Kluyveromyces lactis: one gene and its partner. The protein of the gene in region 2 purifies or fractionates together with the protein of the main gene of each other region. This does not show direct contact. Links are inferred from orthologs where the notes say so. Each region holds a gene or a part of one and is shown on either strand. Other genes may lie near its edges.

Region 1 (6,782 bases), on a different chromosome or scaffold from region 2:
AAATCTCACGACTCTGACGAAGTCATATCGAAAGGCACAGAGCTTAAAACACCAGTTTCTGACAAAAGTGCTAATATCGAAAAATCAGCTACGAATCATAAAGCTGAAACCAATCAGGATGAGAACAGTTCCTGCATCAACTCTTCAAACCAGGTAAAAACCAAAAACCTCATCGAACTGATAACTCTATGTGATAAGAACGCTGAAATTTATATCATGCTTGAGGACTTTTCAAACTACAAAATTTGGCTTCTAATGCGGGATTCATTATTATGGGACTTGAAAGTCCTAACCGAGTCAATGGCTGTTGACGTGACAGCTGACCAAGAAGTCAACGATCAATCGTCCATTGACCAACCTTGGAAAAAAAATGACAGTTTTACTAGCTTGAAAGAGGCAAGGCAAGCATCTGTTGCTAGTGGCTACAGTTCATATAGTGCTACGGATCTGAGCTCCTCGGTAAATACAAATAATAGACATTCTTTCAACGAACCCACTCATCTAACCCAAACTCCTCCAGTATCACATTTAAAGGCTCAACTTCAAGGTTCAAAAGAAACTACGACTATATCGAGGGCTGACTCGATTCAAAATTCGTTACAGAACGATATCATCGAAATTAGAAAGCTGCGTCAATCTCATGGAGATAGAGCAGAACTAGCAATTGATGAAGAGGAAGAAGGAGAAGAAAGAGAGGAACTTACAAAAAGGGCGTTCGAAGAAGATGAAAACAATAAACAATTCATTAATATCCCAAGAAGGGAATCAGGGCCTAGCGCTCTCATGCCGAGTCCTTCTCATGTTTCCTCACAAAGCGAAATTCCTTCAAATCCGGAAAACCATCACCAGCCACGTCGGCCGCGGACATCTTTTATAGACTCCTTCATGTCACAATTACGTTCTCCAGGATCGTCAAATGTTGATGCTGATAGGGAAAGTACTGGTAGCAAAAAATCTTCCATGCCAAGCTTTAGCTCTTCGGCTGCCACATTTTTGAATAGCAAGAAATCGCAAAACGCGAATCATAATAAATTGAAAAGCGCAACTGAAGTATCAGATATATTGGAATCTGAATTTGCTACTCAAAAATCATGGAACGGGAGCGTTGCAAAAACTACAACTCAAATGTCTGGTATTACTGCTCTTATGAATGAAACTAAAAAACTGGAAAATACTATTACCCCACCTTGGTCATCAAGGCGATTAATTCATCAATTATACGAACAGAGTGTTGCTTCAGGAAATATCCTACTAACGATGGCAATTTTGTTATTATTTCAAGATATGTTTCAACTTGTTGATACAGAGACAGTTAAGAATTCTATAGCGGAATTTACCGAATTATTGCACCGGTACGAGCTATTTGAGATTGCAGCGGAGTTGATGAAAAACTGTCCTTACGAGGATATTTCTAGTTCAAGTGCTGGCTTTTCCTCCATTCAGTTATTCTGTGATAAATGCAATAAACCTTTAGTTAACGAATCTTCCAAGGAGAAAATAATCAAAGAAAGACTTGAAGGAAATTCAAGTGCTATGTCCAGGTTTGGATACTGGTACTGCGATTCATGTTCTAAGCGCAATACTCTCTGTTGCTTCTGCAATAAACCAATGAAGAGCTTGGCTATTTCTATGCTTAACTGTGGGCATGAGGGTCACTTCGAGTGTTTGAAAAAATGGTTTTTTGACGAAAACATGGATGTATGCCCATTGGGATGCCCAGCAATCTTATTCTGAAGTCAATTTCCTGTTAATTCGGATCTTTTCTATATCAAGTTATGTTTTTGTAAGAACTCTTTAACGACAACCCAATACCCATCTTGTATTATCGTGTCGTTATGGGAACCGATAGGGAACTCAATAAATCTTTTGCAGCTCGAGGGACATAGTTTATACAATAATTTCATATGAGGGGGTGGGACAATCTCATCTCTTAAACCAGCAAGAAACAAGAAAGGTAAAGTATCATCTTGTATGTTGACAATTTCCTGTTCAGAATCCCAGACTTCATGACACATGAATGCCACATTCTTCAGCATTGGGAAAACGTATGGGATAACTTTGCGAATGGACAGGAAAGTATTTTCTAGGATAATGGCATCGCAGATATCGGTAAATTTTCTAGCAAGATAAATGGCATTAGCGCCACCAAGGGACCTCCCATAAAGTATTAGCTTCCTTGATTTATGAAATTCACTGTTTGTCAAATGGTCCATGACGGTATCTGCGTCTATCTTCAATCCTCTCTCCGATGGGAACCCTGTTGATAACCCATATCCACGATAGGAATACAAAAAAATGGACAAATTAAACTCATTATAGAGAAACCTAGCAACGGGCAGGAAATATCCTATATTCCCCGCATTGGGGCAAAGAACAAGCATGGTTGCAGTCGAATTTTCATTCCTTATATCAAATGCTTTCAATAGAACACCATCCGAAGTCGTTAAAGTGAGATCTTCATAAGGCAAACCGTATTGATCTGGCGTATCTACATGGTCTCTAGCACCTTGTGCCCAAGATGGGTATATAAGCTTGTTTTGGTACAAATATAGAGCGCCCAGTGAAGCAGAAACAATGACAGCTGCGCTTCCGAGTACCATTTTCCCAATTTTGTATAAATGCATACTAGAAGGAAAATGTCGCTTTGGCAAAAAGAAATATGTTACGACAAACTATCACCTTGATCAATAAACTTTCTATTCGATGGATATAGTGACAGCAGCTACGTTAATGAGGTGCTTGTCATAATTAAACTCCCTTTAATTTACATAATACCGATATCCTGCTAAAACAAGCCAGCTACGGTTTGTATTTCAATTCGCATGCTTCGAGAGCATGAAAAACTCCAGAAAACTCAATATTACCCGTCCTTTGAATATAATCACGTGTATTGACAACTGATTCATGTTTTACCCGGACAAGTCGTAACGTCATTACCCTCTCTTAGAAGAAAGAAAAAAAAAAATTTGTAGCAGTGACAGCATAGTACAGGCAGCAGCTGCGAAGGTTTTCAATTTTGTTAACTATGGGAAGTTGGCAAATGGAAGAAAAAATGAAGTTGGATTAACGAATGTGATATCAAAGATTGGATTGACTCTCTGCGCATGTTTAAGATTTTTCGAGTGTTTTTTACTCGTAAATGTATCTGTATAAGACCAGAGGTTACCTGATCAATTTTGAACCTGAAAGACATCGATCTTACGACCAAAGAAGAATATCATGTCCGTTGAAGAAGTTACTCAAAAGACCCAGGATTTAACTGTGGACGAAGCCAAGCCAGCTACTGTTTTATCTGATCCTAAGGAATTTCAATTGAAGCATCCTTTGAGTAGCAAATGGACTTTATGGTATACTAAGCCCCCTGTGGATAGTTCAGAATCGTGGTCTGATTTATTGCGTCCAGTGACCAGTTTGGATACTGTCGAAGAGTTCTGGGCTATTCAAAATGGTATTCCAAAGCCATTCGATTTGCCAATCAAATCTGATTACCATTTGTTCAGAAACGATATCAGACCTGAATGGGAAGATGAAGCCAACTCTGAAGGTGGTAAGTTGTCGTACCAATTCAAGAACAAAAGACATAACATCGATGATTTGTGGTTGAGAACTCTATTGGCCGTTATTGGTGAAACCATCGACGAAGAAGAATCAGAAATCAACGGTTGCGTCTTGAATGTCAGAAAGGCTGTTTTCAAGATTGCTTTGTGGACTAGAACTACCAACTTGAACGCTTTGACTAACATTGCTACCAAGTTTAAGCAAGTTCTACAACTTGGTGAAGGTGAAAAGTTGGAGTTCTACAATCACAGAACTTCTAACTCAGGTCACGCTCCTCCAACCGCTCTATTGTAAATTAGCACATCCCTCCTCATTTCAACACTCAATAAATTAAATCAACATTTACCAAACACTGTCGATGCAAGGGATTATGAGTATAGTTAGAAATCTGTTTTGGACAGGCCTCATCTGATCGCTGTGAATCATCTCAATTTACCTTGACCACATACCCAAAGGGAAAAAAAGCGTATAAAGGGAATCTTTATGGTGCATCACAATCTCGGTTTGTGACAGCACACTTTTGGTATTTTAAAATGGTTGGATTTCACTCTTTCGACATCCATTTCGTGTCCTGCTAATCATAATTCCTTCGACTATTATTCGTAAACTCTTTTTTAAATGATATGTATAAATAATTAACGTGTCTGTTTATTCTTTATTTAAAGTCCTCTCCTGTGTAATTATCAGTGGATTAGTATCTCCACATTTCATTCTGTCAGTTTAGTTTATGAATCTAACGAAAAGAGATATATCCCAGAAATCATCATCTATTATTTCTTGCAAATAGAACCCGAAAATGACAACCAGGTATAATAATATTAAAATGCTTCCTTTGAAATAATTCGATTTCCCCTCTGCATATAAGTAAGTGAATAGAAACACTGACACTACTGATGCAAGTAAATCCCATCTGGGAAACACCATCGGGAACATTCTATCTCTAATGCTAATTTGAGTCAAATCTTTACCCCAAACGTATAGCATAGAGAATATGACTAAGGCTGGAATTTGTAACAAGCATACTTGCAATGCATAAGCACTACCGATTTCCATTGAAAGTGCAACATTACCATTGACTGCGAAAGAAATAGCATTTAAAAATTCTGTGGTATTAGGAACAAGAGCAAAAATGGTCAATCCCAAAAATTTTGGATTCACAGCTGGATATTGTTCGAGGACCTGATCCACGCAATCTACTAATATTTCTGCAATAATGGCATACAAGAAAGTTGCGCCTAATAGAATACATGTTGATTTCGTTTTAGACCAATTTGGTGCGTCGTGGCCACTACTTTGATCACAATTATTGGTCGCTTTCGCTGCATTATTTGCTCCAGATGTGCTACTTGTGACACCAAGAATATTGGAATTGGTTTTATTTAATGGAGCAAAGGAATTTTGGCTCATAGACATGCTAGTAGTCAGCTGACTTTGATCATTGTTCACATCTTTCGTTTCAGCAATCGGTAATTCCCAAATCAGTTTAGCGTGCGTTCTTAATGTGAACCACATACCGATAATATATTGAAGGAACAATGCAACCGTACAGAATAGTACAATGGGTCTAAGGATAGCAGAGTACATTTTGTCAAACTTTAATTGAGGCTGTACAAAATGACATTTCTCTCCATTTTCATTGCAAAGTAAATCCCACTCACCATATATTTCATACAACACTGATGGAATAAACATAACTACCATCGAGAAAATTAACATCGCGCAAGAAACACCGGCACTGGCGGGGTTATAACGCTGAGTTTTTCTTTTGAAAGCGCCACCACACATGGACATACCAGGTAATAATAGAACGGCAGCTAGAATAGATCCAATCAATGAACCTTCCACTAGTAGACCTTTCTCTTGTTGAAGTGCGACACAGTATAAGAAAATCTCGACAATGGTGGAGAAAAACGCATTAATTACAGCTGCCACACCCATCGAACTCTGAGCTGAAATAGAAGCAACTGCTTGTCCGATGTAAAATGCCAAAGGTATAATAGACAATAAACACAACATGAAAATAGTAGATCCATCAGTTAGCCAAGTGTCGATTTGCCAGATATTTTTAATTGCATAAAAGTCGAATATGGTGAATATAACCAAGGCAATCAAGTTCATGACCATAACGTTAGTACCATCCACTGTGAATTTATAGTAGTGTAACCCAGCGCAACGGAAGGTGCATAATAAGACATTTTGGCCTTTGATATCTTCGATTGGAGTGGTTGCCACTGCTGACGTAGCACTTTTTACGTCAATGATTCTCAAAGCCAAAGGATGTTTTCTGCAATGATACATTAAATTCCACAAGATATTACTCATTGGAATAGTGAATACAAACAACCAAGTTGTTAGGGACAGCAACATCACAACTGGTTGAACGACAATGTGGAACATGAAATAAAAAATGAATCTGCCAATTGTCCATTTACCACGCCCAAATAGACGACGATGTAAATGTCCGTTTTCTTCGTCACTTTGATCGTCGTTTGTGTCAGTTCTCTCTGTAATTATAGGTATTGATCCATACGAATCTTGTCTATGGTTATTAATGTTGTTTCTTGCCGTGATTATGTTATTGCTGTTATTGCGAGTGGATGTGTCATTATTACTAATGTTGGCCCTGGCGTTTTGGCTGGAAGAAAAGTTATTCGAATTATTTGTGCTGGCATTATTATCATTGATAGCTTGTGATTCATGAAAAAATAACCGATTGCTATAATTGGTAATCCATTTGTAGAATTGCTGGGCACTGATACCTTCGTCCTGATCTTCTACAAGATATTGCGCATCTGATTTCATCAATACAATCTTTCCGAATGGCCAGAGTAAATAGCGTCCCAACCGATAAAACACTAAAGAATACTCGATCGCAGATCCAGTGAATCCTCCAAAGATCAATACTAAACATGAAGCCATTGTGAAAATCAAAAATAAAAACAGACCAACAGTGAAAGACCATATTAAATTAGTGATTTGAACACCAAGGGTAATGTTTCTGATTTTTGTTTCATGGATATCCTCATCTGCAGCTTGCTGCACTGATCTTTTCTTCTTATAAAGAGCCGGTTTCCATATCCTAATACCAAACGGATGTGTTTTATTAATCGCTTCTTGTCTTTCTCGTAACGTATACGATTCAACAGAGCTAATGCTTCCTGTTTCGATATCCTGAATATTAGAACTTTCACTGTCGTCATCAATAATCAAAGTGTCCAATGGAT
Region 2 (7,990 bases):
AAGACAAAACGGTCCTCATTTAGTAGTGGTACCTTTATCAACCATGCCTGCATGGCAAGAAACTTTTGATAAATGGGCTCCTGGTTTGAACTGTGTTTACTATATGGGTAATCAAGCTTCAAGGGACTTAATTCAAGATTATGAATTTTACACCAACCCACAAGCTAAGGGCAAAAAACATCTCAAATTTAACGTTCTGTTGACAACATATGAGTATATTTTGAAAGATAGGTCAACGTTGGGTTCAATTAAGTGGCAGTTCCTGGCTGTGGATGAAGCTCATCGTTTGAAAAATGCAGAATCATCTCTATATGAATCTCTAAACAGTTTCAAAGTTGCGAACAGATTGTTAATCACCGGTACACCGTTACAAAATAACATTAAAGAATTGGCGGCATTGGTGAATTTCTTAATGCCAGGCAGATTCACTATTGATCAAGAAATCGACTTTGAAAATCAGGACGAACAACAGGAAGAATACATCAGAGATTTGCATAAGAGGTTACAACCCTTTATTCTTCGTCGTTTGAAAAAAGATGTAGAAAAATCCTTGCCCTCGAAAACCGAACGTATCTTAAGAGTGGAACTCTCTGATGTTCAAACGGAGTATTATAAGAACATTCTAACAAAGAATTATTCTGCTTTGACTTCTGGTATTAAGGGCGGCCACGTTTCTCTTCTAAATGTTATGAATGAATTGAAAAAGGCATCAAACCATCCCTATCTTTTTGATAACGCCGAAGAAAGAGTTCTTTCTAAGTTTGGTGATGGTCACAAATCTAGAGAAAACATTTTAAGAGGGTTGATCATGTCCAGTGGTAAGATGGTATTATTGGATAAACTTTTGACACGATTGAAAAAGGATGGTCATCGGGTTCTAATTTTCTCACAAATGGTTAGAATTTTAGATATTCTAGGTGACTATTTATCTATCAAAGGTATAAATTTCCAAAGACTTGACGGTACAGTGCCTTCTGCTCAGCGTAGGATATCTATTGACCATTTCAACGCGGAAGATTCTAACGATTTTGTCTTTTTGCTATCTACCAGAGCCGGTGGTTTAGGTATCAATTTGATGACTGCTGACACTGTCATCATCTTTGACTCTGATTGGAATCCACAGGCGGATTTACAAGCTATGGCAAGAGCTCATAGAATTGGCCAGAAGAATCATGTCATGGTTTATAGATTTGTATCCAAAGATACAGTTGAAGAAGAAGTCTTAGAGCGTGCAAGAAAGAAGATGATTCTAGAATACGCTATTATTTCTCTTGGTGTCACAGATGGTAACAAAATATCATCAACCAAGAAGAATGAACCGAGTGCCGGTGAGCTTTCCGAAATCTTGAAATTCGGTGCTGGTAATATGTTCAAACCAAATGATAATCAACAAAAGTTAGAAGACTTGAATTTGGATGAAGTTTTGAACCATGCAGAGGATCATATCACAACTCCAGAGCTTGGGGAATCGAATTTGGGTGGAGAAGAATTCTTGAGACAGTTTGAAGTTACGGATTATAAAGCTGATGTTGATTGGGATGACATTATCCCCGAAGATGAACTCAAGAAACTAAAGGATGAAGAACAAAGGCGTATCGACGAAGAATATGTCAGAGAACAGTTAGATATAATGAACCGTAAAACTGCTGCCATTGATAAGATTAAGAGATCTGTCAACGGAGAAACGTTTGGGAGTGACTCAGAAGACGAAGGTAACTCCAAATCTAGAAAGAGATCTAAAGCTAACAACTTGGACGCTTTTGGTGAAAGAGAAATCAGAGCATTATACAAGTGTATTCTTCGATTTGGTGATATTGAAAACAAGTTTGAAGAGCTGATTGCCGATGGATCATTACCCGTAAAATCTATTGATAGATATAAAGAGCTTTACCACGAAATGATTACAGAGGCAGAAACTTTGATGAGAGACGAAGAGGCTAAGAGGCATGAAATATTTAGTAAGTTAGAAAAGGATGCAGCCGAATACAGACAGAAAATTAAAAACTTGGAAATTAAGCCTGAAGATGATGCTGGTAAAGAAACTCCTATCACTCTTTTATCTGCTAAAAGAAGAGAGAAAAGAGCCATCCTATTCGAATTCCACGATACTAAAGCACTAAACGCAGACACCCTTGTTAATAGACGCGACAATCTAAAATTCTTATCCAATTTTGTGGAAAGAAACTACAAAGACGACCCGTTACAATTCAAGTTCGTGAATAAGAATCCAAAACCTGTGTCTGCGTGGAATTGCGTATGGGGTAAAGAAGACGATGAGAAGCTGTTAATCGGTATCTATAAGTATGGTTACGGTGCATGGATGCAAATCAGAGATGATCCGTTTTTGGGACTAACTGAAAAACTTTTCTTGAACAATGAAGTTACTCAGAAAGCTGCCACTCCTGCAGCACCTAGTCTCACACCATCTGCTCCAGGGGCATCTGTTGCGGGGTCTTCAACACCTGGTGCTGATGCTGTAAAGACAGAAACTCCTGACACTACGGCAAACACACCAATCGTGACGGCGTCTTCTGAAAACACTAATAAGAAAACAGTGAAGAAAGCTCCCGGTGCTGTGCATCTCGGTAGAAGAGTCGATTACTTATTCACTGTCCTAAGAGACGAAGCTAAGGGTCCCCAAACTGATCCATCTCACCCTGCCGGCTCTTCGTCAACCGGAACCACGACGCCTCAGCAAAACAAACGTAAACCAAAGAAGTCTGCTACTACTGCTGGGAACAGCAATGGGAACGAAAATGCCCATACCGCTGGTACCCCAAGTGACGGCAATAGTGTTAACTTAACCGGCAAGGACTCTACACCAGACAATAGCTCCGAAACAAAGCGTGGCAAGGCCCATCACCATCAACAACCATCATCAAGATCTGGTACGCCTGTCGTCGGATCGAAAAAACAGCAGAGGAAAGGTAAAGACATACCGTTGGCACCAAAAGCCGATATCCGTCTTCCTGACAAAGAATACGACAGTATGGACGAAGAAGAGTGTAAGAAAACGATGACAAACGTCCGTAGCTCACTCAAACGTCTAAGATCTGGAGGAGACGGTCTTGAACGTAAGCAATGGGCTAACCTATTGAAGAAGGAATTGAAACGTGTTGGTGACTACATCGAATCGCACAAGAAGGACTCGTCTAAGACCTCTCCAGAAAAATATAAAAGACATTTATGGTCTTTCACTGCATATTACTGGCCAAGAGATGTCCCATCTTCCAAACTCCTGGCGATGTACGACAAAATCAAAGCCTCTGAACATTAATTAGTCAAATGTAACAAAACATAGAGATATATACGCCTATCAATTTACGAAAAAAAAAAAGATATCTAATCAACAACATATTGCTATTAGTTATTATTACCTTCATAAATGACATGAGGCACAAGGGCGCACCAGAAACAGCCGGCTGCTAGTAAAATACCTGGTTTGTTGTGGTGATGCCTCAGATCATTTCGCACGTACCTACCTTTCCTTTTGTGGAAAAGCTTTAAACTCTTTTTCAACTCTTTAAATTTTTCAATGAAAATTTTCACTTTTTGGCTAACTCATCACAACAATTAAGGACTGTTCTCACAGAGATGGATGAATTATATAACGATTTTAAATAAGTTCTTGTGATGTTGTTTCATTTATTTAATTTGTTATAAGTTTTTAGTTATCTTGGTTAGTTTATACTGTTTCGTTTGTTACTTATTTGTATTACCTTTCTGGTTCAGTTATTGTAACATTTTATTTTGTGCAATTTGTTTGTTTAAAAAGACCACGGTCAAAGTCAGCAAACTCTCTAAAGGTATCATCTGTATCCTGTATTTTAATTGTTTTTGGTAAAAGAAAAGAATAAGCGTGGTTTATATCTTTTTAATATTAGTCAAAACATTCCAGTTAGAAGTCTTTTTGAATTCAAGTTAACTAAGGGTTTTTCATTTCCATCCATCGTTAAATCAAAACTTAATAGTTTCATCAAAGGTTCGCAACTGTGTGGGTATTAAACAAAACAATACACTAAAATACACATTAAAAAACCATAAAAAAACATATATTTTAAAAACACATTACAAAACCAACCAACCGCCATCTTTTTCGGTTAAATTTATCTCATCTCATCTCATCTCATAATGTCTGATATTACTGAAAAAACTGCTGAGCAATTGGAAAACTTGCAGATCAACGATGATCAGCAACCAGCTCAATCTGCCAGTGCTCCATCCACTTCTGCTTCTGAAAGCGAAGCTTCTTCTGTTTCTAAGGTTGAAAACAACAACGCTTCATTGTACGTTGGTGAATTGGATCCAAACATTACTGAAGCATTGTTGTACGATGTGTTTTCACCATTGGGTCCAATTTCCTCGATCCGTGTTTGTCGTGATGCCGTCACCAAGGCTTCGTTAGGTTACGCTTACGTTAACTATACTGATTACGAAGCTGGTAAGAAAGCTATTCAAGAATTGAACTATGCTGAAATCAACGGTAGACCATGTAGAATTATGTGGTCCGAACGTGACCCAGCTATCAGAAAGAAGGGTTCTGGTAACATTTTCATCAAGAACTTGCACCCAGCCATTGACAACAAGGCTTTGCATGAAACTTTCTCCACTTTCGGTGAAGTCTTGTCTTGTAAAGTTGCTTTAGATGAGAATGGAAACTCTAGAGGCTTCGGTTTCGTTCATTTCAAGGAAGAATCCGATGCTAAGGATGCTATTGAAGCCGTCAACGGTATGTTGATGAACGGTTTGGAAGTTTACGTTGCCATGCACGTTCCAAAGAAGGACCGTATCTCCAAGTTGGAAGAAGCCAAGGCTAACTTCACCAACATTTACGTCAAGAACATTGACGTTGAAACCACTGACGAAGAGTTCGAACAGTTGTTCTCCCAATACGGTGAAATTGTCTCTGCTGCTTTGGAAAAGGATGCTGAGGGTAAGCCAAAGGGTTTCGGTTTCGTTAACTTTGTTGACCACAACGCCGCTGCCAAGGCCGTTGAAGAGTTGAACGGTAAGGAATTCAAGTCTCAAGCTTTGTACGTTGGCAGAGCTCAAAAGAAGTACGAACGTGCTGAAGAATTGAAGAAACAATACGAACAATACCGTTTGGAAAAATTGGCTAAGTTCCAAGGTGTTAACTTGTTCATCAAGAACTTGGACGATTCCATCGATGACGAAAAATTGAAGGAAGAATTCGCCCCATACGGTACCATCACCTCTGCTAGAGTCATGAGAGACCAAGAGGGTAACTCTAAGGGTTTCGGTTTCGTTTGTTTCTCTTCTCCAGAAGAAGCTACCAAGGCTATGACCGAAAAGAACCAACAAATTGTTGCCGGTAAGCCATTGTACGTTGCCATTGCTCAAAGAAAGGATGTCAGAAGATCCCAATTGGCTCAACAAATTCAAGCCAGAAACCAAATCAGATTCCAACAACAGCAACAACAACAAGCTGCTGCCGCTGCTGCTGGTATGCCAGGCCAATACATGCCACAAATGTTCTATGGTGTTATGGCCCCAAGAGGTTTCCCAGGTCCAAACCCAGGTATGAACGGCCCAATGGGTGCCGGTATTCCAAAGAACGGTATGGTCCCACCACCACAACAATTTGCTGGTAGACCAAACGGTCCAATGTACCAAGGTATGCCACCTCAAAACCAATTCCCAAGACACCAACAACAACACTACATCCAACAACAAAAGCAAAGACAAGCCTTGGGTGAACAATTGTACAAGAAGGTCAGTGCCAAGATTGACGACGAAAACGCCGCTGGTAAGATCACCGGTATGATCTTGGATCTACCACCACAGCAAGTCATCCAATTGTTGGACAACGACGAACAATTTGAACAGCAATTCCAAGAAGCCTTAGCTGCTTACGAAAACTTCAAGAAGGAACAAGAAGCTCAAGCTTAAACTTGATTTTTTGACCTTGATCTTCATCTTGTCCTTTCTATATCTTTCCCCCGAAGAAAAAGAAAAATTAAAAAAAAAAACGAACAGCTAACTATATGAATAGTCTCAGCTTCACGCATTGGAACTGGGTGGTGCTAATTAGCTTACGCATTGTTATAGACCTAAACTAGTCGAAATAAACTACTTTCTGCCACTCTTCTTTTTCTCTCGCTTTTTTTTTTTTTGTTCATCACAGGCTTTCCATTGTTGCCAAAAATGTTGTGCTTTTAATCTTTACCAATAAAAAAAATTACCACGCTCCACATATACCATATTACCACAATCCATCACATCACTCTACCCTTTCTCCATACCGCTAATTCAATCCGGAGGTATGCCCCATTTTTCTCTTCAAATTTTTTCTTACTGATTTTTTCTATCTAACTATTATTGTTACTCTACCCGTTTTATATAATACTAAAGCTCTAATGGGAGGACATTAGTAGTCTTTTTAATGAAGAGGTTTTTCGCATTTTCAAAAGGTTTTTTTATCAGTCTTTATATACCTTTCTCTGACAGTCATCAACATGGACGGTATACTGTCCTGTGATGATGATGATGATGATGATGAAGTATCACGTGACTTCGCATTGTCTTTTTCGATATCGAATAGTTTCATATTAAAGGTCTTGAAGGCATTTAAGGCACTAAAAGCTTTAACCCTTTTTAAAATCAGGATCTATTCCTGATTTTCTACGGCGGATCGAGTACCGATCACCCAGTTCAAAGTACAATGGCAGCATTACCCAAGAGAATTATCAAAGTATGTTGAAAATTTTTGGAAACTTACACGTTCTTTTCTATCTGAGTATTAATTAATAGCGTTATAACTAACCAAGAAAAAAAAAAATATCATTTACACAGGAAACTGAAAGGTTAGTGAGCGATCCGGTCCCCGGAATCACTGCAGAACCACATGAGGATAATTTACGTTATTTCCAAGTGACGATAGAGGGTCCGCAGCAAAGTCCCTATGAAAATGGGGTCTTCCAACTAGAATTGTTCCTACCGGATGATTATCCAATGGAAGCACCAAAGGTAAGGTTTTTGACAAAAATATACCATCCCAATATCGATCGGTTAGGTAGAATATGTCTCGATGTTTTGAAAAATAATTGGTCACCTGCCCTTCAAATCAGAACAGTACTTTTGTCCGTGCAAGCCTTGCTTGCATCTCCGAATCCGAATGATCCGTTAGCTAATGACGTCGCTGAGGAATGGATCAAGCATGAAGATACCGCAATTGCAAAGGCAAAAGAATGGACCAAACTTTACGCCAAACCTACTCAGGATGAGGAACCAGCAAAAGAATAACTCGAATTTGCAAATGATCTTAGCTAAATTCTAACTCACACATACCATATATTTATATACATGAACGTATATATTCACTAAACTAGAGGATTAGCTGGAAACAGAATGTTAAACCCACTGACATATACAATCAAAAGGCTTTTTGTGTGGTGTAACTGCCTTCGTTTTCTTGTGTCAAGTGTTCCTGTTTCTCCATTAATCATCTAGAAACGGCTTTCTCGGAAATACTTGACATTATAGGAAAGGTTTTCAAATTAAAAAGGCTTTTCGAAATTTTGAACAAAACATGTTCTCCATTTCTGAACCACATTGAAGTTTAATTCTTGAGAGTATATTAGTACAGGACACTCAGCTGTAGTCCATTGCTGCTGACATCCGGTACTAATAACTCAGATTTCGATTGTCTTTCAATACTGTACGATTACGCACTTTTAATTTGAGCGGTTTTTTGAGTGCATCTTTCTGTCTCGACTCTCTCTATTTGAGTATATATCAGAACATTATATTTCACAGGTTAATACTGGGTTAGAAAAGGGTGAACAACATCGAAGTTAATACATCTGTAATACGTGCTCTTGCCAGAATCATACCAGTGCAAATTTGTGTCTAGTTGAGTGATTTTTCTTGGCTGGAAAGGAGTATTGTTTCGTGGTTTGTGTGCTTTGAGGAAGTAGAACATCAGGAATGACTGGACCAAAGAAAAAGGGAAAGGACTCTGATCCTTATT

The links. The genes of interacting proteins can lie anywhere in the genome.
Region 1: the proteins of PAB1 (region 2) and CDC33 purify together in Saccharomyces cerevisiae (affinity purification with western blotting; 7 studies listed by BioGRID, with this or other methods). This does not show direct contact. The link is inferred for Kluyveromyces lactis from reciprocal best matches to the Saccharomyces cerevisiae genes PAB1 and CDC33.

Annotation. Positions count from the first base shown.
Region 1 is NC_006041.1:1,874,459-1,881,240, forward strand, and holds CDC33 (translation initiation factor eIF4E), read left to right. Parts: upstream 1-3,219; coding exon 3,220-3,852; downstream 3,853-6,782. Other genes in the region: RTC1 (Rtc1p), read left to right, coding at 1-1,734; KLLA0_E20989g (uncharacterized protein), read right to left, coding at 1,764-2,624; VNX1 (calcium/hydrogen antiporter), read right to left, coding at 4,279-6,782. UniProt on the Saccharomyces cerevisiae protein: Recognizes and binds the 7-methylguanosine (m7G)-containing mRNA cap during an early step in the initiation of protein synthesis and facilitates ribosome binding by inducing the unwinding of the mRNAs secondary structures.
Region 2 is NC_006039.1:1,549,191-1,557,180, forward strand, and holds PAB1 (polyadenylate-binding protein), read left to right. Parts: upstream 1-4,131; coding exon 4,132-5,910; downstream 5,911-7,990. Other genes in the region: chromatin-remodeling ATPase CHD1, read left to right, coding at 1-3,277; E2 ubiquitin-conjugating protein UBC13, read left to right, coding at 6,683-6,712, 6,814-7,263; aminophospholipid-translocating P4-type ATPase DNF1, read left to right, coding at 7,948-7,990. UniProt on the Saccharomyces cerevisiae protein: Binds the poly(A) tail of mRNA. Appears to be an important mediator of the multiple roles of the poly(A) tail in mRNA biogenesis, stability and translation.